Oreochromis niloticus: one gene and its partners. The protein of the gene in region 3 binds, or shares a complex with, the protein of the main gene of each other region. Links are inferred from orthologs where the notes say so. Each region holds a gene or a part of one and is shown on either strand. Other genes may lie near its edges.

Evidence for each region.
Region 1: snrpe (region 3) and scnm1 share a complex: the UniProt entries of both Homo sapiens proteins name them as parts of the minor spliceosome. The link is inferred for Oreochromis niloticus from reciprocal best matches to the Homo sapiens genes SNRPE and SCNM1.
Region 2: snrpe (region 3) and prpf31 share a complex: the UniProt entries of both Homo sapiens proteins name them as parts of the U4/U6-U5 tri-snRNP complex. The link is inferred for Oreochromis niloticus from reciprocal best matches to the Homo sapiens genes SNRPE and PRPF31.
Region 4: snrpe (region 3) and lsm6 share a complex: the UniProt entries of both Homo sapiens proteins name them as parts of the U4/U6-U5 tri-snRNP complex. The link is inferred for Oreochromis niloticus from reciprocal best matches to the Homo sapiens genes SNRPE and LSM6.

The regions. Positions count from the first base shown.
Region 1 is NC_031976.2:31,213,602-31,221,097, forward strand, and holds the start of scnm1 (sodium channel modifier 1), read right to left. Parts: upstream 3,010-7,496; 5' UTR 2,876-3,009; coding exon 2,825-2,875; intron 2,649-2,824; coding exon 2,578-2,648; intron 2,485-2,577; coding exon 2,396-2,484; intron 1,019-2,395; coding exon 924-1,018; intron 583-923; coding exon 482-582; intron 395-481; coding exon 270-394; intron 184-269; coding exon 63-183; intron 1-62. Other genes in the region: lysmd1 (lysM and putative peptidoglycan-binding domain-containing protein 1), read left to right, coding at 3,557-3,784, 4,806-5,113, 5,643-5,817; tnfaip8l2b (tumor necrosis factor, alpha-induced protein 8-like protein 2 B), read right to left, coding at 7,258-7,496. UniProt on the Homo sapiens protein: As a component of the minor spliceosome, involved in the splicing of U12-type introns in pre-mRNAs. Plays a role in the regulation of primary cilia length and Hedgehog signaling.
Region 2 is NC_031976.2:22,012,204-22,019,623, reverse strand, and holds the start of prpf31 (U4/U6 small nuclear ribonucleoprotein Prp31), read left to right. Parts: upstream 1-4,411; 5' UTR 4,412-4,590; intron 4,591-5,716; 5' UTR 5,717-5,734; coding exon 5,735-5,947; intron 5,948-6,041; coding exon 6,042-6,102; intron 6,103-6,252; coding exon 6,253-6,336; intron 6,337-6,440; coding exon 6,441-6,538; intron 6,539-6,761; coding exon 6,762-6,868; intron 6,869-7,420. Other genes in the region: uncharacterized protein lmtk3, read left to right, coding at 1,820-1,947. UniProt on the Homo sapiens protein: Involved in pre-mRNA splicing as component of the spliceosome. Required for the assembly of the U4/U5/U6 tri-snRNP complex, one of the building blocks of the spliceosome.
Region 3 is NC_031970.2:34,218,235-34,225,285, forward strand, and holds the start of snrpe (small nuclear ribonucleoprotein E), read right to left. Parts: upstream 3,012-7,051; 5' UTR 2,741-3,011; coding exon 2,687-2,740; intron 1,787-2,686; coding exon 1,760-1,786; intron 1,657-1,759; coding exon 1,594-1,656; intron 459-1,593; coding exon 380-458; intron 1-379. Other genes in the region: phenazine biosynthesis-like domain-containing protein 2, read right to left, coding at 4,050-4,162, 4,270-4,332, 4,533-4,616, 5,080-5,171, 5,411-5,499, 5,596-5,625, 5,757-5,789. UniProt on the Homo sapiens protein: Plays a role in pre-mRNA splicing as a core component of the spliceosomal U1, U2, U4 and U5 small nuclear ribonucleoproteins (snRNPs), the building blocks of the spliceosome.
Region 4 is NC_031971.2:16,285,780-16,293,326, forward strand, and holds the start of lsm6 (U6 snRNA-associated Sm-like protein LSm6), read right to left. Parts: upstream 3,016-7,547; 5' UTR 2,862-3,015; intron 2,849-2,861; exon of another isoform or gene 2,708-2,848; intron 2,541-2,707; 5' UTR 2,529-2,540; coding exon 2,435-2,528; intron 2,343-2,434; coding exon 2,229-2,342; intron 1-2,228. UniProt on the Homo sapiens protein: Plays a role in pre-mRNA splicing as component of the U4/U6-U5 tri-snRNP complex that is involved in spliceosome assembly, and as component of the precatalytic spliceosome (spliceosome B complex).

The DNA of each region.
Region 1 (7,496 bases), on a different chromosome or scaffold from region 3:
CTGCTAAAAAGTAGTGAAAATGTACAACATTAGAAAGTGAAAGTCCCACAACATTTAGGCACCTTTTCAGTTTGAGGTAGTGCTCCAGCTCTCTCTTCCTCTGGGCAGTGATGGGTTCAGCCTCCTGTGTCTCTGCAGCCTGAGATTCGGCCGTATCTTTTGATGGATGTGGCTCTTTATTGGCTACAAAAAGAGTTCAGGCAAAATCATGACCAAGGTTTGCTCAAAATAAAAGCTGACAATAAAACATTTCCTCTAGCAGACCTTACCTGTTGAACAGACAGTAGAGTTGCTTTGTGACGTGTTCACTGAAATGCCAGATTCCCAGCATGCAGATGTCATGTTGTCACTGGGGTCTGAGCTGGTGCTTGCTGTCACTTTTTCAGATTTTGTGCTTAAAAAGAATGACAAATAATTTAAATTGTGTTTTTCATTGTATGGCTTCAAATACAGACAACTCTCATACCAAGTAATCACTCACCTGGTTTTTCTATGACAGCTGTTATATGGTACAGTTTTCAGCAAAGCATGATGGGTGAGCTTCCGTGTTTGTGCTAGTAATGGGGCTGAACTGGAGGGCTCCTGAAATCACAACAAGAGTGGCTCATATTTTCCACCATTACACAACTACACTGAATTGTTTAGTAAGGTGTAATTTGTTAGAGTCATATGGTAGTCACACGGGCACCACATAAGTGATTTAACAGGAGACAACAACATGGAATAACAATGTCATGCAGTAAAGAAAGATTACATCTGTTGAGCTCGTGATGTTTTTCCTGTGATGATTCATTGACCGTCTGCTGGCAGAATGACCCGGCTGGTTCTCATCTGTTGTTGCTTTGTTAAACACACAGATTTTTTCTGTTGGCTATGACAGACTTGTGAACTTGACAGAGAAAGCATGATTAATAGTTACCAACCTGCCTTTTTTCTTCAGCCTCGACGTAGTTTTCATGTTGCCGTTTTGTTATTTCATTCTTCAGCCGTGCTTTCTTGCCATAAAATGCTTTTAGCCCTGAGTAGAACACACAACAAACAACTGGGTTTACTAAAAAGTCAATGTAAACTGAACCAAACCTGAAAAAAAAGTCATACTCGTTTCCCTTTGAAGTACAGCAAGTTTGGTATATACAATGAAGACATGCAAAACTTTACCTTCATACTGTAGAAATTAAACTGGTATCGAAATGTAGGTAAAAACAACACTTTTTATATGCTGTAACTTATCTAACATACATGTTATACGGTGATACCCTTATTCAAAATACACTTTCCGGAATTTTTTCAAGTGAATCATCAGAAAATAAAGAAAACTTCCAGGGTACAAATGCTTGTCTTTAATTGTTTGTGTAAGAGACAACAGACAGAGTTTTGCTTTTCCGAATGAGGAAAGTTGGATGTTAAAAAAAAAAAAAAAAAAAAAACCTGGTGAAGAAAAATTAGATAGTTGTACAACACTCTGACACTTAAAGAGTACAATTTGTTTGACAGCCATTCAAAGTGATGGAAAAACTAACAAATTCAAAAGCATGAAATTTTTACTTATCCCTATGTACTTGTAAATATGCAGTTTTAGTGTGAAAAAGTGCTACAATGTATCATCGTTTGGGTTTTTAATTCTTCCAAATAATGACGGGATATCAAATCCAGATAATTTGAAAACCAAAACTACTCTTTGTGACGCAGCATTAGAAAAGACACACAAAAACAGCTAACCAATGACGCAATCCAAAAACTATTGAACTTTCCAATATTTCAACTCTTTGTTAACTTGACTTGATTATCTGCAAATGCAATGCAAAATTTCCCCTTGACTGCTGCTTTTGAGTTTTATTGAGTTTATTCATTTACTCAGTTGGGTTTTCAACTGCTGCATCAAATTACAATACAGGTCTTGTGTTGGCTGTTGTTTTGCCTGATGAGGACATAACTACTGACCAGCGCATCTCTTTCTTTGATCCTCAGTTAGTTATGTAGCTTCTCCCTCTCACAAGTAGCTTTTCAGTCTTCAGTGTTGTATTTTATTTTTGAGCAGATTCTATTAATATGCATAGTTTATGCATCTGTACTCCTCTGATTTTGTGTAGCATATGTAGCAAGGATGGCATATTAACCTGCACTTCACAGCACCTCAGATGATAGCTCGACCTCATAAAAGTGCCTGTCCTGCAGCATTGACTTTAGAAATGCAGAGTCATTTAAAATATGGGGTACTGTCTCAATAAATAGGGCGAAAGACAAGGGATAGAAATGGTGTGCAGATGGCTAACCCTTGATACAGCGCTTCTTAATAAGACTGGGGCCGAAACTTCAGGTCCGCTAGGTCCCCGGGGTACGAGCCCACGTACTAACTTAGTTGCTTTAAATAACTTTGCAGGTTAAAGGTGCTCACCGTCTAGATGCCTCTTTCCTTTTCTGTGGACTGTCAACATGTCGACTGTATCAAACACAGGACGGTAGGAACACACAAGGCAAGTGTACCTATAAGATACGGGGAGAAATTAAACTAAACATGCCGTTAGCTACACAAGTTTGTCTTTCCCAAACATATCAATGTTTTGAAGTTCACTCCACCTTCCATTTTTCATAAGAGCAGCCTCATCTTCTGGAATAAAATTAGACAAAAGGTCTGCCACACGACGTTTCTGTAAAACGAAGCGAATAACGTTAGATAGTATGTAAGTTTTACTACAATTTTATTTCCCAAAGTAATAACTACAGTATGTTGTTAGCTTAAAGATGCTAACACTAGCCACATGTGTGCTCTTAGCTGAAGTCTCTGTTATTAAGCCAACATAAAATGCTGCAAATTGATCCGTACCTTAAGGAGATTCAGCTGGCTTTTATCGTCACCTTCTCTTTTAAAGGACATAATTGTTATGATCAATAATATAAAAACTAATCTGAGTAGCAGCGTAGCTTCTTGGCTATAATATATAAGCTAATAGCAATGCTGCATTCATGGACAAACGGAAGATAGGAAATATAGACCTGTGCTCATCTTTGAGGTGGATAATTGTTTCGGCTATCGGAACTACAACGATATCTGCTGGTTTTTATAATATAAAGTCCGCATAGTCATTTGAAAGCTCGATTTGTGGCTATAGTTTGTATTTGCTCAATTTGTGAAACAAACTATATCAACTTAATATAAAACGCAAATTTTTCCCCTACAGTCTTTAATGCAACGCGTTGTGGCGAATCATAGGACTAGTCAGTGAACACGGCAGCCATGGCAACATATGGCTGTAGACAGCTGACTGCAAGAGTTTTGAAAACAAGTTTTTCAGCGACTTTTAGTTGTGTATTTGACAGATAAGGTACGTTATATTTGTAATCCAAGAAACTTTCTATATAGTTTAAACGGCTGTCATTTTGGAGAAAAGATTGAACGCTTGGAACAAATAACGAGCGACGACGTTAATTAAGTTGATAGCCTTAGCTAGCAGGCTAACTAAGCTGCTAGTTTGATAATTATGGGCTAAAGCGGAAGCCATTATTGTGAAGATGTTAACAGCAGTGAAGTTCGCTGGTAAGCGCATTTTAGGCCCACATGGTTGTTTACCACACAAAAAAAGAACAATATAAGTGTTTTACGACAATGTCAGAGGAGCGAGCTCCACTACCAGCTGGAGGAGACGGCCTACTCCGAGGGAGCCGCACAAGATCTTACGGCAGTTTGATCCGATCTCCGCTGTCCCCGGTGCACCAGAGACGTATTGAACATATAATTCAGCCGGGAGAGACACTGCAAGGCCTGGCGCTGAAGTATGGAGTGTCTGTGAGTATGACTGTGTTGGTTTGACTCTGAGACTGAATTAGTTAAAGTATTTATTTCTTGCGCCTTTAACAGTTCAGGTTCAAGGTTCTTTATTTGTCACATGCATAGTTATACAAGTATAACACAGAGTGAAATGTATCCTGACACGCTCCTCGACATGTGCAAAAAGGGAGGGGGGGTAGAGGAATAACATTATAAATATACATTGGGTGAATGTGCAGTAGTAGCAGCAAGCAGGTCAATTCTGTACATTAATATGAATAGACATCTGACTATTTTACAGAATGGACAATATAAACATATTTAAAGTTAAAGGAAATGAGTGTCTGGAGGAAAGTCTCAGTCAATTATAGATGATGTGAGAGGGCGTGTGTGTGTGTGTGTGTGTGTGTGTGTGTGTGTGTGTGTGTGTGTGTGGGTGGGTGGGGGGGGGTGTTGGTTTAGGGCCGATGGCTTGAGGATAGAAGCTCCTCTTGTAGATTGTAGAAGTTGGAACAGTTTGTTGCCAGGATGGGACGGGTCCTTCAGTATCTGCGTTGCTCTAGTCCGGCATCTCCTGGTGTAGGTGTCCTGAAGCGGGGGGAGAGCAATCCTGCAGCAGCGTTCTGCTGTACGGATCAATCTCTGGAGAGCTTTTTGGTCCTTCACACAGCTGTTCCCAAACCACGATGTCATGTTAAGCTTATGTTGAAATTTACTTGTTGCGATATGATGTCTTCTAACTGAATACTTGATTTACCAATACTGAAATGTAAATGTGGGTGAATAATCACATTTCTTATTGTTTTATTTTCATATTTATTGAGGTAGGGTTATCTCAGTGGTTCAACAAAAACGTTCAACTACATAATTAAATTGTTTATTCAGCTGTTAGGGCATACTATGAAAAAGTGCTTGCCTTAAAATGGCATGTATTTATTTGGTTTGCTGTCTGCCTACTGATCTCGGTAAAAGTGAGACTTGATTTAGCCAAGTCTAATACTAATTAACATAAGGTTCACAAGGACATTTTCTCTTTCAGATGGAGCAAATCAAAAGAGCAAACAGGCTGTACACCAATGACTCAATATTCCTGAAGAAGTCTTTGACAATCCCTGTGATAGCAGACCTGGACGACTGCAGTAAAGGGCTGGATGTGGCTGAGGAGGACGGCAACAAAGGCAGTGCTAACTCTGCTTCGCTTCACAATGGACACACAGGGAGTTCCTCTGAGAAAAATCAAGAAGACAGAAAAGATCTCACTCCTGGGGATTTTTTGAAAAGGTTGGATGACTTGATAAGCCAGTCCAAGCAGGCTGCAGTCAAAGGATGCCAGGAAGCAGAGAAAAGGTATAACTGTGCCTGTCGCTGGTTGCTCTTTTCTTTGCACAGTTGTTGTCCAGTCAGGGTCATTTGTAGCATTACAGAGACTTACCCTCTTCGTATTTAAGTCACTAATAGTTAGATCAGTTGGTCCTGCTTATGGATATGTTTTTAGTCATGTCGCTGAGAATATTGTACCTTCACTGATGTGTAAACAATGTTGAGGTCATGGTTAAATACACGCATTTTGATGTTAAGCATAGATATACATGGATAGTATCTGGTGGTCAGTTTAACCTAGATTGTCATGTCAAGTATAGTCATCCACCTTTCTGGCCTTCTTAGTATTTCATCAACCACTCACAATGTGGCTGTTCAAAAGATTCCCAATGCTTAATAGCTACTTTGAATTTAATTTGTAATGACCTGGTGATAGTACCAGTGCAACAGCGATTATTTTTATTTTTTTTTATTTTTTAAGAATATCAATCAATTTAGCCTAAGATCAGTACACTGTGAATGACTTGCTCTGTTATATATTTTTTTTATTTACCAGGGTTGCTACACTAGAAGCAACTTGCAACAACAGGACATCAGATTGCCGGCCGCTTACGAGGTCACAGAGTGTCATTTCATCTTCCAGGATGGCAGTACATGGGACAGTACCGCTCACTGTCACCAAACTGACCAAGAAACTGAGAGACAAGGAAGATGAAATCTTTGAACTGTGACATGTCTGTCACTCAGAACATTAATGGAACTTTCGCAGGGAGCCGTGATGCGCTGTTTGATCTCCAGGATAACGGAGCGTTACGGATAAAGGAATGAAAAGGAATCCCCGGTGATCCCGCTGCTGCCTAAAGCATAAAAGTGTTTTTACACTTCCATTTAAAAAAAATTATATTGCACAATTGTAGACTTGTTATTTATTTGGTGAGACATACTGTAGGTTGTGAAAAGCTTCATATGACTATTCACATCCAGGAAATGGAAACTTGAAATTTGAAAAATGAAAAATCAATCATATTTAGTCAGATGATCATATGGTCAACACAAAAGGGGTTTGTGTGTAATTGCCTCATATTTTCAGACTTGTAACCTTAGGAAATGGAATCTTAAACACAAGTTACGTTTACTGTAATAATGATGATGACAATAAACTGATTAGAATGATGGTTTTTCTATTACTGCTGAAAATGCAAGAAAACATTTTGTAGGCTTTATAATATTTCATTGCAATAATTGTGTTGTTAAGGTTATATTTCTAATGTCTTCTCAATTTTGTATTTTTTGTTTTAAAATAAATATTTTTATCCCATGTTAAATGACATTTATTCACATTACTGCTAACAAATATCTTTTAGTATAACATGCAGATTTAGCTGTTATGTGAGATTTAATGTCCAATTGGAGTTGATTTTTATCCATTTTAACTGCCGTGTAAGACCAATGAATAGCCAATAGACCAATGAATTAAAACATTTTTAAGCCCTACTGTGATCCAAAAATCATGAATTATAGATTGGCTGTTCAAGCAGTCATGAGTAAAGAGTCTGTCTTTTTGTTGATCTAAACATGTTTTTAAAATACAGTCATGGTCGCAGTAATTGTGCACTCTGGGGTCATTATCTTTATTTTTGGCTTGATTGTTGTCTGGACACCTCAGTAAATACAGTTTGTTGCTGCAGAAGCATCATCTTAACCACCAGATGGCAGTGGTGTACTATAGTGGTACTGTTCCCAGGCCTAACTTGCTTATGCATCTGTCCAGCTGATTCATATCAGTGATTATAATGCATAATATCAGTAGTTCTGAATAATACATTTCAAAGTCACAAATATTAGATGATATTTTGTATGCTAGTAAAATAATCAATGCACAATATATCTGTTTAATTTCAAGTTTGTTTTCTTTGGACACTGTCTGAATAGAAAATTAGCATCACTTACATAATATATATTTATGGCCCCAAAATATCAAAAACTTGAATGACTCCACAAAGCTTTATTTGTATCCCACATGTTCTTTGAGAACTATGGGAAAGCAGGTTGGTTCTCAAATGACTTGTTTTATGTTGCCAGTCCTCAGTAACAGAAAAACAAGCAGTTCAGAGTCCTAGTTGAGTCTGTCTGTTGATCTCCCAGTGTCTGTCTGAAATTTAGTTCTGATGTCATATTGTCCCATCTTCCACTAGTTTATTCAGTCCTTTACAGATCTTGGTGAGGTTGGGTCTGAAGGGCCCATCAGGGTTGTACAGTTGGGTCAGGAGCTGTGGGTCGGAGTAATGGTTGAAGACATGGTTGATGCGACCATGAGATTTAGTGGTGAGGTGGGTGTTGACCAGTTTCAGCAGCAGATCCCTGCAGCTGGTCAGGATGTCTGCCATCACTGTTTTTTCAAAGGTAAAGT
Region 2 (7,420 bases), on a different chromosome or scaffold from region 3:
ATATTGTATTATCTGTACTGAAACAAAAACTCTAAACGACATAAAATAAAAGCGAATGAGAAAATACAAAACTAATAATAACTGATGCTGATGTTAGCTTTCAGTGCAGCGCTGCACCACACAGCTGTTACCATAACTGCTGGCTTGTTGGACTCTACGTACATCAGTGTCTGCTGCTTCTTACACAGGGATTCAGTTAGTCTCCTCCTTGAGCTGCCTAATGATGTAACAAAATGTGACAGCCGCTAGCACATTCCCAGCTAAAATGGAAAACCTCAGTTCAGCTCTCTCCGCTGCAAATATGGAGCCAGAGTTAATCTTCTATAATTATGCCCCGGGATGCTGTGACATGTTGAACTTAGCAGGGATGTTAATCCCGCACTCAACAATGCAAGCCCGAGTCATGTTTCCCTGCACATTTTCAGCTGCTCTCGCTACTTTCCACTCTCCATCTCATGCACTCAACACCCTTTTTCACAGACTAATGAAAGTTGGGGCTCAGAGTTTGCTTTCGAGCTGTGTCACATACAGAAAAGGCAAAATTAGATTCCTTAATGATCTTTCAAGCCTTTCAAGACTTCAAAGTTTTGAAAGAGGAATCCGTGTTACTTTTGAGTTATTTTAAACTAAGTCTGCGTCGCCTCAGTGTGGTTGTTGACTGATAATCTAGATCTATTAAGATCTAGATTATCAGCTGATTTTCTCCCCTGTGCTTGGTACTGGGGGTTTTTTCTTGTGCATCTTATAAGTGAGTAAACATGTGTCCCAGTCACAGATGGATCATCATTCTCCTATGAATAGATTGGTTGATCATCAAAATTCATAAGAAGACCTACTCCTCCTACAGTATCGGTCAGAATTTAATCAAAATTACACATTGATCACCTAATGGGCCTTCATCCAAACTGTGCTTCGGCTCAAGGTCACACTGGTAATTTTACAGGTACTTTTTCTCAGCATTACCTTCAAGCAGGTAATGCTCGCCCTGATGTACTGAATGATATTGATAATATCAGATTCTCAATGTTGATGCACAAAACGACCAAGAAAGAACTTCGTGGTAAATGGATTGGTACTTCTGGCACCTTCTACTCAATTCTGAGCACTCAAAGCGAGTCTCATTCAAACAGCCTGTTTATACCTTATACGTGCACACACTCACATCAATGCACTGGGGGCAACTCAGGGTTCAGTGTCTTGTCCAGGGATGCTTTGACACATGGCACAAGACGAGCCAGGGATTGGTCCTTGATTGGTAGACAACCAGCACCACCTCTTTAGAATAAACAAAGTGGTAGCTTGAAACATCGCTTTGTCACACATGCTTCATATCGCTGGTATCCTGTTAGATGATGATGATAATTATGATCTTATTCGTTGTGATGATGGAGGGAGTGGTCCTGTTGGAAGGGCCGGGCCTGCCTATTAACCATCATGCTGATATAACATGCTCAGTGCTATGACACACTGATCCTTTTATATATTTTCATTGCTTTTTATGGCAGAATTAGGTAGTTCTAGTCCTCCAAGTTTGACAGTTCTTTGACTTCTTAGTGGATTCTGATTTGTTTGTGCAATGCAGCCAACAAACGATTAGAAAACTTAATTGTTTCAGTTGTGATTGATTGTGAACCGGGTGAATGTTTTGGTTTAATTCCAATAAAAAGACTTTCCTTAAACTTCCCCTTACAGTCAAACACACGCTTATTGCCCGGGAACATCCTGTTCATTTGGGCTTCGGTATTTATGCCTGGTGCACTTGTTCTGGTTTTAACACCAGCACAGTCATGATGCTAATGTTGTTTTTTGTCTCTTTTAGGGCCAAAAAGCAAAGAATCGAAAAGGAAAGAGGATTTATCAGTCAAACCAAGGTCACCTGTCGGGGCAAATTCAGTGACTTCATCGCGCTTCACTGTCAGCCCGGCTGATGACCCACACCTGGTGTGATGTTGCACATCATCCTGGAAACACTTTAGAGCTCAACCCTCTCGGACTGGCCCGTGAATTAACCCAACAACCAGCCATTCGCCCAGAGGATATTTTTTTATTGAAGAGGCAACTGAAAGAAGAGACTTCGATTCTAAAAGCTGGAAACATTCCAGGTTTTACTAGTGACGGGATTTTGTACGACTGGGGGTTGCTGAGCTCCGGCCTGCCACTGTTTACAGAGTTTATTCATAGCCTTTGGCTGCAGAAATCTTTGGAAAAGGCAGCATATGCTAGGCGAAGAGGAGCCGGGAGCTTTGTAAAATCTGAAACAGATTCGACAGCTATGCAGTGGGAGTCTTGCTGTGTACCAGCTTACCTTCTCTTTTTCTGCTTTGTTCTGTTTTTCCCTGGGTGTGCAGGGAATGCACTTTCTTTAGTCATTCGTCTGTCTATGTAAACGCTTGGATCCCGGTCCTCTCTTTATTAAGGACATTTTTCATTGCAGTCAGTCAGTTGTTCTTGTAGGCAGCAGTTTGAAACAGAAATTGCTTGACTCCTGTATTTGACAATACTCCTCAGCATTTGTACAAACATCATAATACAAGTGTATACAGTATCATTTTAGAGCTGTTTACTTTTAGATGTATTCTTAGACTGCACGAAAAATGAAACAAGCAGTTTATTTTTACTTTTATTTCTGAAAAGCTTTAATTTCTATATTTATTTCTATGTTATTTTACTTAATTTATGTAAAGTCAGTTTCCATGCAATATCTTAATTATTTATTTAATCTATTAAGTTATGTATTTATTTGCTTTGGTGCAATTGCATATATGAACTTAGCTATAATTTGTTTGGGACAGAAATGCATCTAGGTCTATAACTTCTCCAAGATCTTCATAACAAATAAATCAAAATATTTTCCCAAACGTCTTAATTGCTAAACAAAAAAAAAAGTATTTTGTATAATTTTACTTGTTAATATATGCCAATATGTATGGAACAACGTCCTGTAATGTTTCATTATTTTCCGATGTCTATGAATTTTTAGCTGTCTCGTCATTCTTTTATCTTAATTAATGACAGTTAATGTAGCTTAGCATGAAAAATCGAAGCCTTTCATTAGTAAATAACTCCCATTTGTTTGTGTATCTGTTAATTTATTCCATTTTCTACTAATAACAGTCCATCATGCAGTCGAGATCCAACTAGTCAATTTGTTTAGTCTGTTTAAATGTTGGTTTAAACTTGTATTGTTTAAAGAATGGTTTTCAGGGGGCAATGTATAAACAAGGGGGAAATAAAAACTATGAAATGTGAACCTCTTATTTGAACTGCGTCATATAAATAAGCTCGATTGTTACTTTTACTTCATTCATGACCAAGAAAAGCTGCACTTATATCCAGATACATGTTTGTCAATGAGGGCTAAGTTGCAAACTATTGACATACTAGAAATTTTACTCAGAGACGTATGGGCTGTAAGAGCAAGTTATATATTATAAATCAATTAATGCTTCAGAAGGCACTGACATCACAGACACAGTTAGTGAAAATGAGATGGATTGCTCCAGCTGTCTGTGCTGGGAAAACCTGTCAGCCAGCAAAGCCATGACCCCAACTCCATAATCTAGGTAGATACAATATAAAAATGTCACCTCCCAGCACAGGTGAGGCTGGGAAACATGGAAGCGTTTTTTCTGCTACTGATTATCATTATTAATATTTTTATGTATATTTTTGATGTCCTTAAATCAACATTTTGGGTTAGGTATTTTGAAATTTTGACTTAGTAACTCTAAATTAAGGTTAGTGTTGTGAGACTAAGTCATTATGCTAACATTTTTTTCCTAGCTTCCACTAAATTATCCCTAGGGTGTAAAAGGGGAGGTGGAGGTGTGTGTGAGGATACTTTAATTAAAATTATACTTATGAAAAACATGAAAAAAAAAAACAACTTTAAGTGGTTCATTTTAAATTTGCAGTTACACCCAAAAGCATATTGTAATAAATAAATATAACTCACCATTAGTATTCACCAGTACCTATTCGCCTTATTACACATATACATTCAGATCAACTTAGAGCATCGTATTTTGCATTCAAACAGATCTTAATCCATATTTTCACTGTACTGTACACCGAGTTTATGTATGTACTGTATATATTTCACAGATAGATAGATAGATAGATAGATAGATAATCAAACCTGTGTCAAAAAGCAAAACAAAAAACACCCTCTGTGATTTTTTTTTTTTTTTTTTTGTTAAACTTTATTTAACAAACAATGAGTATACAACATACGAACAGATGAAGTATACAAAACAACAGAACATGAACACACAAAGGCAGGGGTAAAAAGTTACAAGAATACACGCAAAAATTCACAGATATATATTGTTTTGAGAGCCTTTTTGTTGGTAGAGTCTGATATTGATTGTGCCTCTGTGATTGTGAAGTGTACTGACACAGTTTCCCACAAAGCTTTGCGAATGTACGTATTTAATCTGCGACCAGCGGTACATCGGCGCCGCACAACCGGATTGCAAACAGTCAAGAAAACAGAGGGACGAATCGTTTTTTATTTCTATTCAAAGCGACTGAAACCTGCATTGGACGTCTTTATTTTTTCTTAAACCAGTAGGACTCTGAAACTCTGAGGTATGTCAAAGTTACTGAGAAATCGCTCAGTAACGTCGGACCAACGTTCGCTAATGCTAGCTAGCTAACAATGTTAACTCCAAACACAGCCAGCGATAACCCAAAGATGGAAGCAGACTTAATACTTCACAGTTTTTATGTGGCGGTGATAGTGTGTGAGGGACTGAACACGGCCTCGATAGTATCTCAGACGAGTCTGAGAAGAGCTTCTTTGTCAGAAGAATATGTCACAAAAATATGTCTACAGATGAATTTCTCTTTCAGGCTTGAAAACACAGCGAGGTCCATAAGTTTTTGTATTGACACACTTTTTGCATTTGATTTGTATTTGTATTGTTTGATAAATGAGTAAAACTAGTATTAAGTATCTAGTGCTCAAATAATACTATTAAGGAAGGGGATATTAGAGACGTGCTTTTTTTTTTTTTTTTTTTTTTTAAAATAAGAATTTAAGAATAAGAATATTGTTTTAGTTGCTGGTTGTGCGTCTGTAGAGATTGCTTTATAAGCCCTCAGAAAACAGTCAAAAAAGGCCAAGCAGTTAGAACCCAAGGGATTTCATCAGATATGTAGGCTTTCCCAACACAGAGTTAAAACAAAAAAAAAAGTTACTGTACTTTTATGTGATCTAATGCTGAGATTATTGGTGTATGTTCTATAATTGAAGATACTTGGGAAACATTTTTGGAAATCTCCAAAGCGAGCATAAATAATTTTGTGAAACAGAATGCATTTGTATCACACTTCTCTGGTCTTGTAAACCACTTAAAGCTCTTTACACTAAAAGCCACATAAATCTGTTTATGCACACATTTATACAGAGGCTTATTGTATACACTTAGTTTATCCCACATGCTAGTGACACATCAGGAGGAGCTTTTTTGGGTTTGTTTTCATCCCAAATTTCACTTCAGTTCAATGTAAGTAAGGACTAGATGAGCCAGTGATCGCACTGCTGACCTTTTAAATATGGGATCCTCAAGTTATGTAACCAGATCATTAATAAAAAAATAAATAAATTCAGAGTTACATCAACAGCAGCAAATAAAGAACATATACCCCACCAAACTCAGTGACAACCTCATGTAGGCAAACTGATCCTAGTCAGCTTTGCTTGTCCTCACAGTTTTCCCATCGATTGCAGATGTCTCTGGCAGATGAGCTCCTGGCTGATCTGGAGGAGGCCGGAGATGAGGGAGAGGATGGGCTGTACCCAGAAGAAGAGAGGGACAGCGATGGAGAGCCGAACCAGGGAAGTGCAGACGGAGGGCTGGAAGACATCCCAGAGGAGATGGAGGTGGACTACAGTAAAGCTGAGAGCGTCGCGTCTATTGCAAAGCTTCGCAATAGCAAACAGGTGAGTTGTATCATACAAGAGCTTTACACATGTTGAGATTAGCAGTAAAATGTCTGCTCTGTTCTTCCCAGAGTGACTCTTGTGTGTTTTGCAGTTTTCAGAGATAATGGACAAAATTTCTGAATATATTGGAAAGCAGCGTAAGAACTCAGAGGGTGAGTGTTGTTATTATTATTTAAGGCTCTTCTCACTATCAGTTTCCATTCATTTCTCTGTTTTACTCTGTAAACACATTTAATTTGAACTTAATGGTAACCCAGAGTAGTCATGGAGTTGTTATTATTATTTTTTTTGTTTGCTTTTAGTCTCAGGCCCAGTCGAGGCTGACCCAGAATACAGACTGATCGTCGCAGCTAATAACCTCACAGTGGAGATCGACAACGAGCTCAGTGAGTTGGCTTCTTCTCTCTGGTGATCCATAATGCTATGTTTTGAGATTTAGTTCTCTTCCTTATAACCTGAGATGTCCTCTGTGTTTCTGATTTGTTTCTAGATATCATCCACAAGTTTACCAGGGACAAATACTCCAAGAGGTTTCCAGAGCTGGAGTCTCTGGTGCCGGATTCTTTGGATTACATCCGTACTGTCAAGGTGAGCTGAACTATGTATTCATCTTTGACCCCCCCCCCCAAAAAAGAAGCTCAGAGTTGACTGTTTCTGTTTTTTAGTTAGAATTAGGATTTCTATTTTTAACAAAACTGACATGATTAAAGAGTTTAAAACTGCACCTGTTAAAAACATTGTTTCCTGTAGTTTGTTTGAACATGATGTTTTCTCCCCTAATTTTTCTTCTTTTTTTGTGGTTTGTATCTAGGAGCTGGGAAACAATCTGGAGAAATGCAAAAACAATGAAACGCTGCAGCAAATCCTTACCAATGCCACCATTATGGTTGTCAGTGTCACAGCCTCAACCACACAGGGGTAAGTTAAAGGTCCCGTCTCACCAGAAGAGTTTCATGTAGTTCACTGTGACAACTTCCTGCTAGAATCACCTTAAATCACTCACTGGAAATGAAAAACTATGGGGTTGCTAATGCTGGGGGGCTGGAGCCTATCCCAGCTTAATGGGGAGAGGCAGGGTACACCCAGCACAGGTCACAGGGCTAACACACAGATGGGCAACCATTCACATTCATGGTCATGTTCACACTCATATACCTACCTGTTGTCAATTTAAAACCACAACCATGAATGCATGCTTTTGGACTGTGGGAGGAAGCCTAAAGAGAACCCTTTATGTGCTGCATACAATTAAAATTATTATCATCATGTCTTATTTTTACAACTGGATAAAAGCCAAGTACTGCCAATTTTGGAATATTAATTGTAAAATCTGAATAAGTCTTAAACACAAACTAAACACAGACTTCTTCTTTGAGTCTCATAAACACCATAACTTTTATACCTCATTTTGAAGTGATTTATATTTGAAAAGTTGCAAAATTAAAACTTCCTTCAGTCTTAAAAAAAGTT
Region 3 (7,051 bases):
AGCTGCTAATGTCGTAGCAGCTACAGAATTGGCCTGCACTTTCACCATTTGAAAACATTTAGTACGTCACGAAACAAAAAAATGCACCAAAGCAGACTGACGATTGTCTTGAAATTCTTACATGTGTTTTGTGTTTGTATTTTGCTTCTTTGTTTCAAATCACTGTAATTGTTTTTAATTACACTTTACATAGCATCCCAGCATTTTCAGAATTGGGTTTGCACTTTCTGGGATATGCAGGACAAGTGTTTTCAAAAATCCCTGAGAAGCAACAATGTCTTGATGACACACATTTTTTTTTAATTCTTACCTTTCACAGACATCCTTCCTAAAATTGTAAAATAATAAAACAGCTTTACAAAAAGTGGTGCGCTCTTACCCAATGGTTTTCTGTTCTTAGTCTTCATGTGGACTTCCTCAGCATCGTCTAGAACCAGATTCATGTACTCATCGAAACCCTAAGGCAATGAGACACAAGACAACTAGAACTTACTAACTAGAACTTGTGCATGCCTGATCTCACAGAAGGTTCAGCCTGAGTGGAAACGCTACTCACAGATCAGGCCATTTCAAGTTAGACTGAATCATTTTAAGCCATGCTAGGACATAATGTGGCCATACAGGGGAACAGCAAGTGACAAAGGTTTGTTCCTAGTGAGAGCTTATTTCCATCTCAATAGCAACACGCACATGGTGAAGATCACCTTCTTTGATTTCTTTGGTGCGTATAACACATTTCAGCCACTGCTACTTAGAGAAGGCTAAAGGGAATGTCAGTAAACAGTTGGCCATCTCATGGATCACTGATTATATGATAAACAGTATGTGAAACTGGGCAGTGCTCGGTGTCAAAATGATGACATACAGGAGCTCCACAGGGAACTGAGCCATCTCCACTCCTGTTCACCTTGCACACCTCAGACTTTCAGTCATGCCACCTACAAAACTAATAATTCTGCAGTGGTTGGATGCATCAGTGATGGGCAGCAGGAGTACAGAGCACTAGTGGATGATTTGGTGGAGTTGTCAGAGAGGGATCCACTGTTTCTGATTGTGAATAGGACCACAGAGATGACAGACTGCAGAAGAAAACGGGTGGCTATACCACCTGTGTCTATCCCGGGACAGAATGCTAATGTGGAGGAGGAGAACAAGTACCTGGACATCCACACTGATAACAGGTAGGGCTTGGCCATATCATACTGTTCACGGTAATACCGGTATAATGTTGGACAACGATAAGAAAATGAAATATCATGATAGAATCTGGGTAAAACGCGCATGTGCAGTGCCTTTGTTTTCATACGCACATGGCGGAAAAAGCACGGCGGCTACGGAGAATAAGAAGGGCGAAAGCGGATTGTTGAATGAAACGGATGAACCAGAATTGGTTTGTAAAAATGCTGCAACTTCAGTGGTGTGGAACTGGTTTAGCTTTCGTCCGTCAGATACACAACAAAGCACTATTTTTGGTAGCGCATGCTAGTGGGCCGTCGTTATTACCGTGTTTTTTGGAAAATATGGCACACTGCCCATGAACATCAAGCTTGATAAACTGACCAAGAACATGGAGAAAGGTTATATGTTACTTACAATAATGCAGCCTTCTATCCGCATGTTCACCTGTTCATACAACCAAACTTGGATCCGTGAGCGCTGAGAATGAGAGGGAGAATAAACTGCATACAGTTTTATCTTCAAAATTACCAGAAAACAAAACTAATCAGAAGTAAGCACAAAAAAGTTACAAGCTACTTACATTTTGCAGGTACCTGAAAATGAGATTCTGACAACCACAGTCAAGGACATACACACAGACTCGAGTTCAACATGTTTAGAGTTAAAATGTGCACATATATTGTTAATGGTTATATTCGCATTTAGTCCAAGTTATCGGAAATGTGATTCAGAATCAGAGTTTGGGTCAGGGGTTCTTCCTGGCTTAAAATTGGCTTTTGGTCTTCATATCTTGAGGGCAAACTTTATTATTTTCCCCTGATCCTTTTGTAAATAAAAATCTGTTTAACAAAGAATTAAAATATAGTTACATTTATTTTTGGTCATTTTAATTCTTACACAATATTAGCACTAATATAACATGCTGGCATTCCCATAAGAGACCATTTAAACGTGGATCCATAGCAAATAAAAGAAAACACTATTAAGTTCCACTAACAATTAACTAATTATATTTTTAAAACATTTGAGAAGCTGAAGGTAATTCCGGTTTTATAACTAATAATTGTCAAGACACTTTCGTTAGTTAAGTATTCCGTAACTTCCTTACTCTCCCACATCATATTATATTTTGGTGTTAATAACTATCGATTGGTGGGCCTAAAACCCTCCTTATGGTATCATATTGAGTAGTTTGAAGGCAGAAATTAGCCTCTTTTGCGTTCAGCTGTAACACGGAACAGCAGAGCCGGGCTTAAAGCGGCTAAGTCTATACACTAGTTTTCTGACTGGATTTCAATAAACCACATTTTTCTGCAAACATATTTCATACCCGCGTGACTTCTCTGGGTGAAACTGGTCTTCACAAAAGCTTACATGCCTTGTAAAACTCCTCTCCTCACATGAGTGACTACAAATGTTTACGAATGACTAAATGTTAGCCTAGCTGCTAAGCTATTGTAGCAACCAATTCAACCGCGCAGTGTCGTCCTGCAATACAAAAGGATACAATGGGCTGCACCATAACCTTCTGGACCTTCTGTCCTTGTCCTCTGTATGCCATTCCTACAACTAAATACCAGCTGTAGGTATATGCTGAAAAAAATTGCACCTTTTCTTAAGAGTGCACTACAACGAAACTCTCACGTTGTGAGACGTCTTCAATGGCGGGTTTCCTTTCGCGTGCTCTGCCAGTACCAGCACGGAGGTCTCGTGATGTGAAAGAGCGCCCCTGCGGGTGGGAGGTATCAATAAAAACACTAGAACAAATCAACGTTTATAACCCGAAATCTCGCGAGAACATACCTGTGGAAGTTTGCTGGCAGTGTGAAACGCGCCCAGTCTTCAGCATAAAAACAAACTAAAAGGCTATATGGCAACATCCATCATCGTCTATATGTGAGAAAAGTTAACATTCTCCAGCTCTAGGTGTAGTGTCATTTCCTGTTTCCTATGATAGAGCTATAGTATGTAACCAGAAGTGTCAACTTTAAAAGAACTTGACTATATTAGTGGGCCTCACTAATATAGATTATTCCATTGTTTATTCCATTGTTTTGTCAGTAAAAACCTGTATGTGCAGGAAAGGATTATACAAAAAAACATGTCAAAAAAACATGTCATCATGATGTCTGTGAAGGTTCTCAGTCATCCACGTCATCGTAGTCTAAGGAGCTTGGAAAGAAAAGCGTCTGGACTTCTTTAAGTTGCTTGAAGACGTTTCACCTCTCATCAAAGAAGCTTCTTCAGTTCTAGGGTCAAATGGTGGGAAATGGTCAAATCTGGGACTTGCCACCATTTGATCCTAGAACTGAAGAAGCTTCTCGGATGAGAGGTGAAAAGGTGAAACGTCGTCAAGCAACTTAAAGAAGTCCAGACGCTTTTCTTTCCACGCTCCTTAGACAATGTCATCATGATGACTTTTAATTTCAGGAATATGTACACGTTATTTAGGATCAAAACGAATCTGCACAGTATCATTTATACCAGTTTAGTCCATATCAGCTGTACTTAATTTTATTGAACCCCATTCATTATTAAGCAAAAAGCAAAAAATTCTACCGACCACAAGGCTAACCGTGACTCTTTGGATTTTACCTGCTGTGTTCTTGTGTTTCTGTTTTTACCATTTTAAAATCTTTTGGTTGTAACTTTTTTTGCTGTAATGTTATGAATAAATGATAGAAATTGTAAAAAAGCCTACAGTATGTTTGTTAGCTGAATCATTTCAGAATAGAACAGTCAGGACTTGAGTGTGTTTTTTCTTTTTATTTGAGCCATCTCATTTTTAATCAAGAGCCACAAAGTGTCTATCTGCAGGGACACAACGGTTGTGATAGAACATCAGACACTGTCTTCTTGGATGTCTCAGCCTACAGTTTGATTGTTCCCTGCAGAATAGTGATGGCCTGTCCAGCTATGTTGATTCTTCCATCATCTCTCAGTTCAAGTTCCAGCTCGCCACCACGACTGGAGCACTGGTAAGCTGCACAGACACAATAAGCAGATTAATAATGGATAAAAGTGGAACACAACATCTGTTATCAGATAAATGACACATTAGTAAAAGGCGGAGAAGGTTAAAATACGTACCCAGCATTTTCTTCTTTCCTAGTTTTTCAGACCAGTAGCTACCTAGGACTGTGTGGTTAGATCCTGCCAGAGCAAAGAATGCACAGCAGGAATAGCTTAACACTTTCTCTCATTAATAAGACACCTGTAAATGCATCCTCTTTAATCACTTTAGTCCAGCTGCTTATATGTAAATGTTTTTAGACACACAAACATGGTCAGAATTATGTTATTTGAGGAATAATGTCTATAGATTACATACTAGTAAAGAGGAATCATCTTACCAGTGACAGGATCCTCAGGGACTCCAACCCATGGAGAAAAGTCTCTCGAATAGAAGTCATATCCTGGCTGGCAGTCTGGTGATCCTGTTTCCACATGTTAGCAGTGTTTGATATTTAATGTTTGTTGGCAGAAACATTCAGTCAGTGTTGTTACACAAATTAAAATGGGCAACAAACGAGTCCACAGGATGGTGATGGCAAAGGAGAAATCAGCGCACCATTTGTCCTGTGATCAAACATTTCCCCAGAGCTCAACCCAAGTGAAGGCCTATATGATGAGTGAAATCACAGACTGTGCTCTTCATCACCATCATCATTAAAACACCAAATGAGGGAATGTTTTTGGCAGATTGCTGTTCATCCCTCTAACAGAGGTGCATCGAAGCTTTTCTGATGGTACATGGTGGGACAACACCTCACTTAAACACTTCATGTTTTGTTTCCTTTGGTTTATTCTTTACTGTTTACGTCTTCATTGTAATGGAATTACTACATGTGGTCCGATCCAGCAAGTCTACAACTCTACGAAAGGCACAGCTCCGATTACCTTTCATAGTGACGATGACGGCGCAGAATCTTCCACTTCTCTCAGTATTCTCAAGAGCCACAGTGTCAACTTTCAGATTGGTAAGCGCGGAGCTGGAGATAATACACAAAAAGCATATATACATTTACTAAAATGTGATGAGTGGGTGTAGAAGGGCAGTTGCTTGATTATTTGTTTGGGCTTTAAACATATGAATAAGCCCCACTAGCTGGGCACCTGAGAAATATAACTGATTGTTGTTGCTGAACAAATGTTTAAGATCCCATGAACAGTAGGACCACTATTGAGATTCATTTGAATTTGGCAACAAGCAAAGTTTTTTTTAACCAACATGTCACAGCTGTCAGCCAGTCGAATCAGCAGCTTCTTGGTGTTGTAGCAAAATAAAACTTCCTGAACCGGGAGGTTTCCGACTGCCGCCTGTGTCACACATGTAAAGGCAGAGACTTAGCTGAATACACACACAGGAATGTAGTTACACTTTCACAAACTGTTCACAAAAATGTGATTTCTGACCTTGATGGTGTCTTTGAAGTCGTTGGGTTCCTGAAATAAAAAGAGTTCAGAAAGAAAGCCATTTTACATACACTGTTAATAAAACACAAGAACTAGTTTATTTTACATTACAGGATTTGATTAAATTGTTCATGTAACTAAACAGGAAAAGTTTATTTTACCACTCGGGTGGGGGGATTCAGAGGAAAGTCCATGATGTACCCTTCCTCCTTCTTGGTGACGTGCAGATCTCCACTCTTGGTCTCAAACACCAGGGTGGGATTTACATTTTCTGAAGGAAAACATCCATTACACGGTTACATGCTAGCACCTCTTTGCTCCTTCTTGCAGTCAGCTGCATTGTGCATTACAGGCATCTTTAAAAATAGCTCCAGCGGCCTTTTCTACTGCACCATGATGTCACTTTTTTTTTTCAAAAACCTTTTTATGTGTAAATGTTGCATCTTACTGATGTGTTGGAATAGCACTGCTGCAGAGGCCAGAGTGGCATGACCGCACAGATCTACTTCAGTGGTTGGTGTAAACCATCGAAGGCGGAATCTTGATCCTGTTAATCACACATTTAAGACTTTTTTCAGTTTTGTTTTGGTATTAGTTTCAAATACACAGAGTTAAGCAGTGTAGATAATAATGTTAGTGATTGGCTTACATCCACAAAGGTCTTCAAGGTCAACTTGAAGGTTGGTCTACAGATCTACAAGTCTACAAGGTCTACAGATTTCAAATATGTCACATTTGACCTATGACCCTCCCCTTCAAGGTCAAGACATCTAAAGGTCAATGTTATAATAATGCTATATAGAGCTACTTAAGTGTGTTTCTTACTGCCATTGTACTGTCAATGGCACTGTGTGTCCTTAATCCTGCCTGATGGGTCTAGTTTAATTTTGCTGAAGGCTAACCTTTCGTGATTCTCTTACACAATCCAAAATTTGTAACTGACATTTCTCAATAGCTACAAAGTGCCATGAAATAGACTTTGTGGTGATTTGAAGATATTTTTCTCTAATTTAATTGTATTCTGATCCTGAAATGTCTGTTGTCTGTGGCAAAACTTACAAGTTTTAATCGTGTGACAGTGTCACATCTTCCTATGGTCACTAGCAGATATTTATGTCCTTAATAGTAACCTGAAAGCTGAACTTCTTGCAACATTTTTTATCCTAATACCAGCTATCTCATGGGAGACAGTTAGCTTTCATTGAGTGGATTTGTCCTTTTACGAATAAACTTTTTTCACTTTTTTTTTTGATAATCTCAGGCAGACTGATACAGGCTTTTTTCCTCATCATATTTGGACTATTTTAATTCCTTCTGCCTTGTTCAAACTTTAGCTGCCAGAGACGAGAAGAGCAAAGACCACATTACTCCCGCTACATTAGACTTATTCAATATAGAATTGATTTTAAACTTTGCTTTATTGTTTGAACAGCCTTACATGACTTCACTCACACCT
Region 4 (7,547 bases), on a different chromosome or scaffold from region 3:
TTAGTATTAAGGGGAAACCAATCCAAACCTACATGGCCCTTTGTGAAAAAGTGATTGCCCCACCCTGTTATAACATAAATTAACTGTGGTGTATCACATCGTTGCAAAGTTTGAGTCGAGTTGAATTTCTCTAGCCACACTCAGGCCTGACTAGTATTGCGCCTGTTCTCAATCAAGAAATCATGTAAAGTGGAGTAGACCAAAATATCCTCAAAAGCCAGGCACATGCCAGAATCCAAAGAAATTCAGGAACACACGAGAAACAAAGTAATTGCAACCTCTTGGTCTTGAAAAGGGTTTAAAGCCATTTCTTAAGCTGTATGACTCCAGTGAACTACAATGAGAGGTATTATCCACAAATGGCGAAAACATGGAACAGCCTCAGTTTTGCCAGAAAACATTTTGATGATCCCCAAAACTTTAGGGATAATACTCTCTGGACTGACAAGACAAAAGTTGAACTTTTTGGAAGGTGTGTGTCCCATTACATCTTGCATGAAGCGAACAAAGCATTTTAGAAAAGGAATGTCATATACCAACAGTGAAAAGGTGTTAGTGCGATGGTCTGAGGCTACCTCAGGACCTGGAGGCTTGCTGTAGTAAATGGAACCATGAATTCTGCCGTCCAGCCACCTGTTCATGACCTCAAGCTGAAGCAGAGTTGGGACAATGATTCAAAACACACCAGCAAGTCCACCTCTGAATGGCTTAAGAAAAACAAAATGAAGTCTCTGGAGTGGCCTAGTCAAAGTCCTGACCTGAATCCGACTGAGATGCTGTGGCATGACCTTAAAACAGGCGGTTCATGCTTGAAAACCCTCCAAGGTGGCTGAACTTAAACAATTCTGCAAAGATGAGTGGGCCAAAATTCCTCCACAGTGCTGGAAAAGACTCAGTGCCTGTTATCACAAACACTTGATTGCAGTTGTTTCTGCTAAGGGTGGCCCATTAGGTTTAGGGGGGCAATCACTTTTTCACACAGGACCATGTAGGTTTGGATTTTTTTCTCTCTTAATAATAAACACCTTCATTTAGAAACTGCACTTTGTGTTTACTTGTGTTATCTTTGTCTAGTATTTAAATTAGTTTAATGTGAAACATTTAAGTGTGACAAACATACAAAAAAATAGGAAATCAAAAAGAGGCAAACACTTTTTCACACCACTTTATCTGAATGTCTCTGTACAAAACCATTGTACAGTTTGAGTTCGCTCCAGTCTGTCTATGCTGATCAACATGGAGAATATTAATACAAAGTTTCATAAAAATATAGCAAGACACAAGAAAATGCAATGAGTGAAAAAGGGCAGTTCCCAAGAGCTGTGTTAACAATGTGTTGTTTTAACAATAATTAATGAGTTAAAAATATCTTAATAAATCAGCTCGGGCATCAGCTAACAGCTACTGTCATTAACAGGATATCTACTGATTATTATCATATAATGATGTACTTCGAAAAATCAATGCAGGCAAAAGTTTAATTTGAAGACCAATTTAATTTGAGTGGGATTTTTTTTTTTTTTTTTTTTATCTTTAACTAATTATCACCATTTGGCTAACCCTCACAATACTTTCAAGAAGGCGAGAGACCTTTTCCACAGTTTAAAGAGAAAAAAAGTACTAGTGCAAATAAAAAATTAAAAAAAAAATATAGTAAAACACATTTCTGAGTTCAGTTTTACAGTTTCAGGATTCTGGTTACTGTTCACGACTGACTTTTACGCAGAGCTTACTGGAGCTGTACAAATTTATTTTATGAGGGAAAAAAAGGAGTTGTGTTAGACCAGAACATAGCTAAAAGGTTATGGCACCATACTGAACCGAGTCGTGTCATTCATAATGTATGCCCTCATTTAAACGGAATTAATAAGCAAGCACTGAATGTGAGTCATTATCAGACAGACCACAGCTTCCTGTTTTGAGAGGAACATCCTACAGAGAAGGTTACTTTTCTGGGTAAGTTGGCTGATCAACCTTTTTAGATCACACTTTAACCTGCGCTCCTCACCTGTGTTTGTCATATTTTCTGCTCCTTTTAACTGTCATGAATGAGTTGCAGTTTCAGACATTAAGAGAAAAAACTGATGGCCTCAGAAACATAAACAACCTGCATTTATTTTTCTACTCTATTTTATCATCATATTAATTATGCACTTCAGTCTTCTTACAGAAGACCTATACTGCCTCAAATTTTAATACCAAAGTCTACATAAAAGGGACAAGCTTACCATTGTTTCCTCTTAGGAAGGCATCTCCATATTTGTTCTTGAGTTGCCCGTTGACATACTCCTCTGTCTGCTCTATGGCGATGTTCATGTAACCATCTAAACAGGCCAGAACACCTGCAGGTACACAAACACACCGTGTTTTCCTTTAAAGTCATTACTTACCGATCAGTATTGGGGGGGAAACAAGTGGCTAGGCTGTTACGTACCTCTATAATCGACACCAGAGTTCAGTTTGACCACAACAGGTCTGCCAATGATCTGCTTCAGAAAGTCACTCGGGGTCTGCTTCCTCAGGCTCATTTTGACTGTGATCTGAAAGGATGAAAGATGAGCATTAGATACTATAGTAGCAATTTATTTCATGGAGCTACATTAGCGTGACAAAAGCTAACTCGTGTTCATGTCTGTAATAGTAACGATTTCCTAACGCAAACAGGCTAGTATCGTTAGCGGCTAGCTAGCTAACGAGTATAACAAACCTGCTAACCGACTATTTTCCCGTGAATCTGTTTGCGCAGCGAGGGTCGCTGTCTTTGTGAAAATCCTGCTTACATTTTATTGCACCCAACAACACAAGGAGAAACCCTTTAATTTTATCTGCAGCAGCAATATGTTTGTTAGCATTTCACTCACCAGACCGAGGTTTTCCAGACAATTGTATTTAGCATGGACGTGAGATTGACCAATCACAAGCGTGTTCTGTACGGAAAGAGGCTGAGGACAAAAAACTTAACTGATTGATCGCTAATCATATAATCAGGTATCAAACTGGCAACAAAGTAGCTATAGTTTTGTGATTAAATGTTTGCCTGAGCCTTCTCTATTTTTTGCCCTTTTTTTTGCATATTTGTCACATTTACATGTTTCAGGTCATCAAAGATAACTTGAGTAAATACAAAATGCAGTTTTTAAATTATGATTTCATTTGTTATAGGAAAAAAGCTTCTAAAGCTATCTGGTCCTATGTGAAAAAAATAATCCCTCCCCTTGTTAAGTCATGAATTAACTGGTAACTTTTCCCTAGTCACAGCCAGGGCTGGTTCCTGCCAGACCTGCTGAATCAAGAAATCACTTAAGTAGAAGCTGTCTGACAAAGTGTAAAAGGTGAAAGATTTCAAAAAGCAACACACCATTCCTCATTCCTTAATCTAAAAAAAAAAAAATCTCAAGAATTGATAAGAAACGTTACAAAGCTATTTTTAAGGCTTTGTGACTCCAACGAACCACAGTGACAGCCAAAGGTGCCACAGGCAGTTATTAGGTTTTGGGAAAATGACTTTTTCACGCAGGGCCAGCTTTCGATAGTCTTTTCCCTTAATCAATCAAATCATCATTTAAAAACCGCATTTCGTATTTACTCAGGTTACCTTTGTCTAAAATTACAATTTCTTTGTTGATCTGAAACATGTAAGTGTGCCAAAGTGGCAAAAAAAAAAAGAGGGAAAAAAAGGAATCTGTAAGGGATTAAATACTTTTCTCAGAGCATGCCGTTTTTTATGTGCTTAAGGCTCTTGCAACACTGTAGCCTTGTGTTCAGCATCACCTGTACTTTTATGTTCCCAGCCATGACAGTTGATGTGCAAAGAGAAGATTATGAAGAAAAAGGAAATATGAATTTTAGTCCAGCAAAATAATATATATATACATATATATATATCAGCTTCCTTTTTGGACCTTTCTTTTCCTCCTGTTAGTCATTAATTTGGAACTGTGCGTTTTCTATATATCATTTCACATAATTACCACCATAGGCTGAAAGAGCATGATGAAAACAAAACATTTGAATCTGGATTCTGGTTAAAGCACAGAAAATCACTACCCAAATAAGAAGAAATCAGAGCAATTTCTGGATGAATATTAATAATAACAACAGAGATAATGATGTTGGTACTTCATACCTCTTTGTCTTGTTAAATTAAAATATAAAAAAATCATTTAGGTGCTTGCCTTGTTTTAAAAATGCATATGATCCTGAGGCAGAATTGAGTTAAACTTAATGGGTGACATCAATATATATTATAAGCTATGATTTCACAAAAGTTTGGATGCTGTAAAATGTAAACAAGAAAAAAATGCAGTAATTTGCAAATCATTTGAAGCCTGTAATTAAGAAAAAAATACAAAGGCAACATATCAGAGTCTAAACTGAAAATATTATAAGACTATCAGGTACATGGGCAAAAAAATAAGCATACTGGAAATGTTGAGTCTGCAAAAAATCTGTGGTCATTTGTGGTACATAATAGCAATTAATCAATCAGAGAATCGATAAAGATTTCACCAAAATTTTTGCTGACGGGCCATGATCTATGGGCCCTCAGCTAACACTACATTAAAAATGGACATGATGCTTTAGTAGAAATCACTGCATGGGGTCAAGGTCCATTTTCAGTAAAATATTATTTGTCAACCATTCGTGCTCACATTCACACCTATGGGCAATTTTGAATCACCAGTTAACCTAACCCCACTAACTGCATGTCTGGTTGTCTGTGACAGGCTACTGACCTGTCCAGAGTGTACCCTGCCACTCACCCTGTGGTAGCTGAGATAGGCTACACCCCCTCTACGACCCTGAATTGGATAAATGGATGGAGGGAAGGATGGATGTTATTTGTCACTGCCTCAGCAAATGAAAGTTAAAACACTACCATGCAAAGAAAGTAGATTTTTATCAGCACATAGTTCAAAAGCTGAGATCTGTGATGGTCATGTGCATTAGTACACGCGGCATGTTTAACCTGCACATCTGTAGGGCACACAGGGATAAATACACATTTTCAAGCAACATATGCTATGCAGTCCAAATGATGTGTTTCTCAGAAGAATCATTGCTTATTTCAGTGAGAAGATGTCTGTACATATTTTGCATATTCATCATAAAGAGTAAAGTAAAAGAGTCTCAGTGCTAAACAGTCCTTCCTGTTTGTTTTTGTTACACACTAAAAAACAAAATAAAAAAAAATGGATCATTGCAAAAAACAAAATAAAAAACCCCCAAAACAATTCCAGAGAACACAAACAACGGAAATTATATATCAAGCAAGAACAAGGAAGAACTCTGTGGTCTAAATTACTGCAATTTAATTTAAGGTTGTGTTGTAAAATGTACAGGTGATGCAACACAGTGGTAAATATGCTTCTCCCTAAATGTCCATGAAACTACTCTGAATCTCACACGTTTGACTTTGATACTATTTAACTGCATTATGCGTAAATTTAACAGTAAAACTTCTACAGACCCTCACAGATTCTGGTCACTGTCTCTGTTATTGCAAAATAGTTGCTGTTCGACAGCTGAATGGTGACCAGATGCACACCGAGATGAAGTCAGATCTGCTAACAAGGAAGGAAACACCTGATGTGTGAGTACAGTCGAAAACATAACTGCCATCTCCTTTGAGAGCTGATTAGATTGGCCTGATTGGTCCTTCTACTTATTCATCGCTGGATGTTAATATCAAATCAAGCTTTATAATAAAAAACAAATAAATACAAAAAATGATTGATGACAGTGAAAGTGAATATTTTGAAGTTTCGGACTGTTTTTACAAACATTTTAAAATAAATTATTCATTATTTATCAGAATGAAATATATATCAAAATAGCACAAATGTAAAATTCTACATTAATCATATGGACAAAGTTTCATTTAATTTAATCAAAAAGCTTAACCTAATGTAATAAATTTCAATCTAAATTTTCAGTGGAAATCTTTAAAAGCTACAGAAGTTTACTTATATGTTAAAGTACGTTTATGAGTGTTTCTCACTTTGGGTTTACACATTTTTAAATCACTGTGGAATTTCTCTTGTTTTAAAATAGAAATAAATAAAGTGCATTATAGCTTTAAAAAAGTATAATGCAATAATAGTAATAGTATTATTATTTTTTTATTATTACCATTATTATTATTATTATGCTATTGGTAAGCTGTGCTGTGAAGGATAAGAGAAAGTCTACCATCTGATAAAAACTCTGGTTGTTGGGGTGCGTGACCCAAACACTGCACAGCTTGGGAGGTACATGAAAAATGGTGTAGGGGGGGAAATAGGGATGAAATGGTGAGGTGAAAGATAGAAGAGGATAGAGGGCACGAGGATGTGCCAGTACGTGTTAGCAGAGACAGAGAGGTTGAGAGAAAAAGAGAGAGAGAGGGAGAGAGAGAGGGGGATTGTGAGAGGTGGAATCATAAAGTACTTCTTGTGTGTCTAGACAGGTTGCTTGTTAGCAGGGCATGGCTAGCCCTGTGGAGGCTAGAGGTTAATTTGGTATCTGCTGCTGTGTTAAACTAAGGTCAGTACTACAAGTCCTTAAGTCATAAACAAGAGTGGTTAAGAGCCATGTATACACCTAGGCACCGGTTAATGAATATTCAATGAAGATTTTTTTCCCCCTTGTCCCTTGTTTCCTTTGTCGTTGCTTGCTTTGTAGAAAATTTTTGGAAAGAAAAAAACCACAGTTTTTCTCCATGGCCTTCAGAAATGACCTCTGCGTGCTAACATGTAGTTGTCCTTTGTTATCCTATAGTTGTAACGAAGAGTGGCTTTTTGCTTTTTGAAACGCGGCACGCTGATTATTCGCTTCCATTCTTGAACGCACTGAATGCAAATGCTCATTAGTTTTATCTCGTAGTATAATAAAAACCAATGATCTAATAAAAACAGAAAAAAAATGTCCAAGTCATGAAGTTTGTGGATAAAGCAAAACTTATACTCATGACCGGCATTTAATGCAGACGTTTTCTCGTGCTGATTTGGATCTTAGTGGAAATATAATGAGAAAATGTTTGAAGTGAGCTTACACGGGCAAATCGGGTATAATCCACAGGCTGAGAAAAGTGCTTCTGGCCTGTAACCAGCACAAAATCCACCAATGATGGTTAATAAGTCAGCTGAAATAGGGCTTAATTAAAACATTGACACTGTGGGCTGTATCTGTGGTTAACCTGTCAGTGATCGCCAGACTGTTCTGCTGCCTATGCATTACATGTGTAATGTATGTCTAAGATGCCAAGTCTTTTTTTTTTTACATATGCTGTAACAGCAGATTCAAAAAATAATAAATAAATAAACACATGCAAATACAAAAGCATCAACAGGCTTTGTTTTTGTTTCTAATTTCATTGTTTTTGCTTTTAATCAGCACATGTTCTCAGGTAAGTAGCAGATTTCCCTTTCTGGTGTCAAATTGCTTCAGGTGGTCTTAAATGTTTGATTGTTTTTCCTCACTGTATTCTAATTTTGTATTCATTTGCGCTTCATGTGTCTTATATATGTGTGTGTTTTATACATATATATAATTTTGTATTTTAGAGT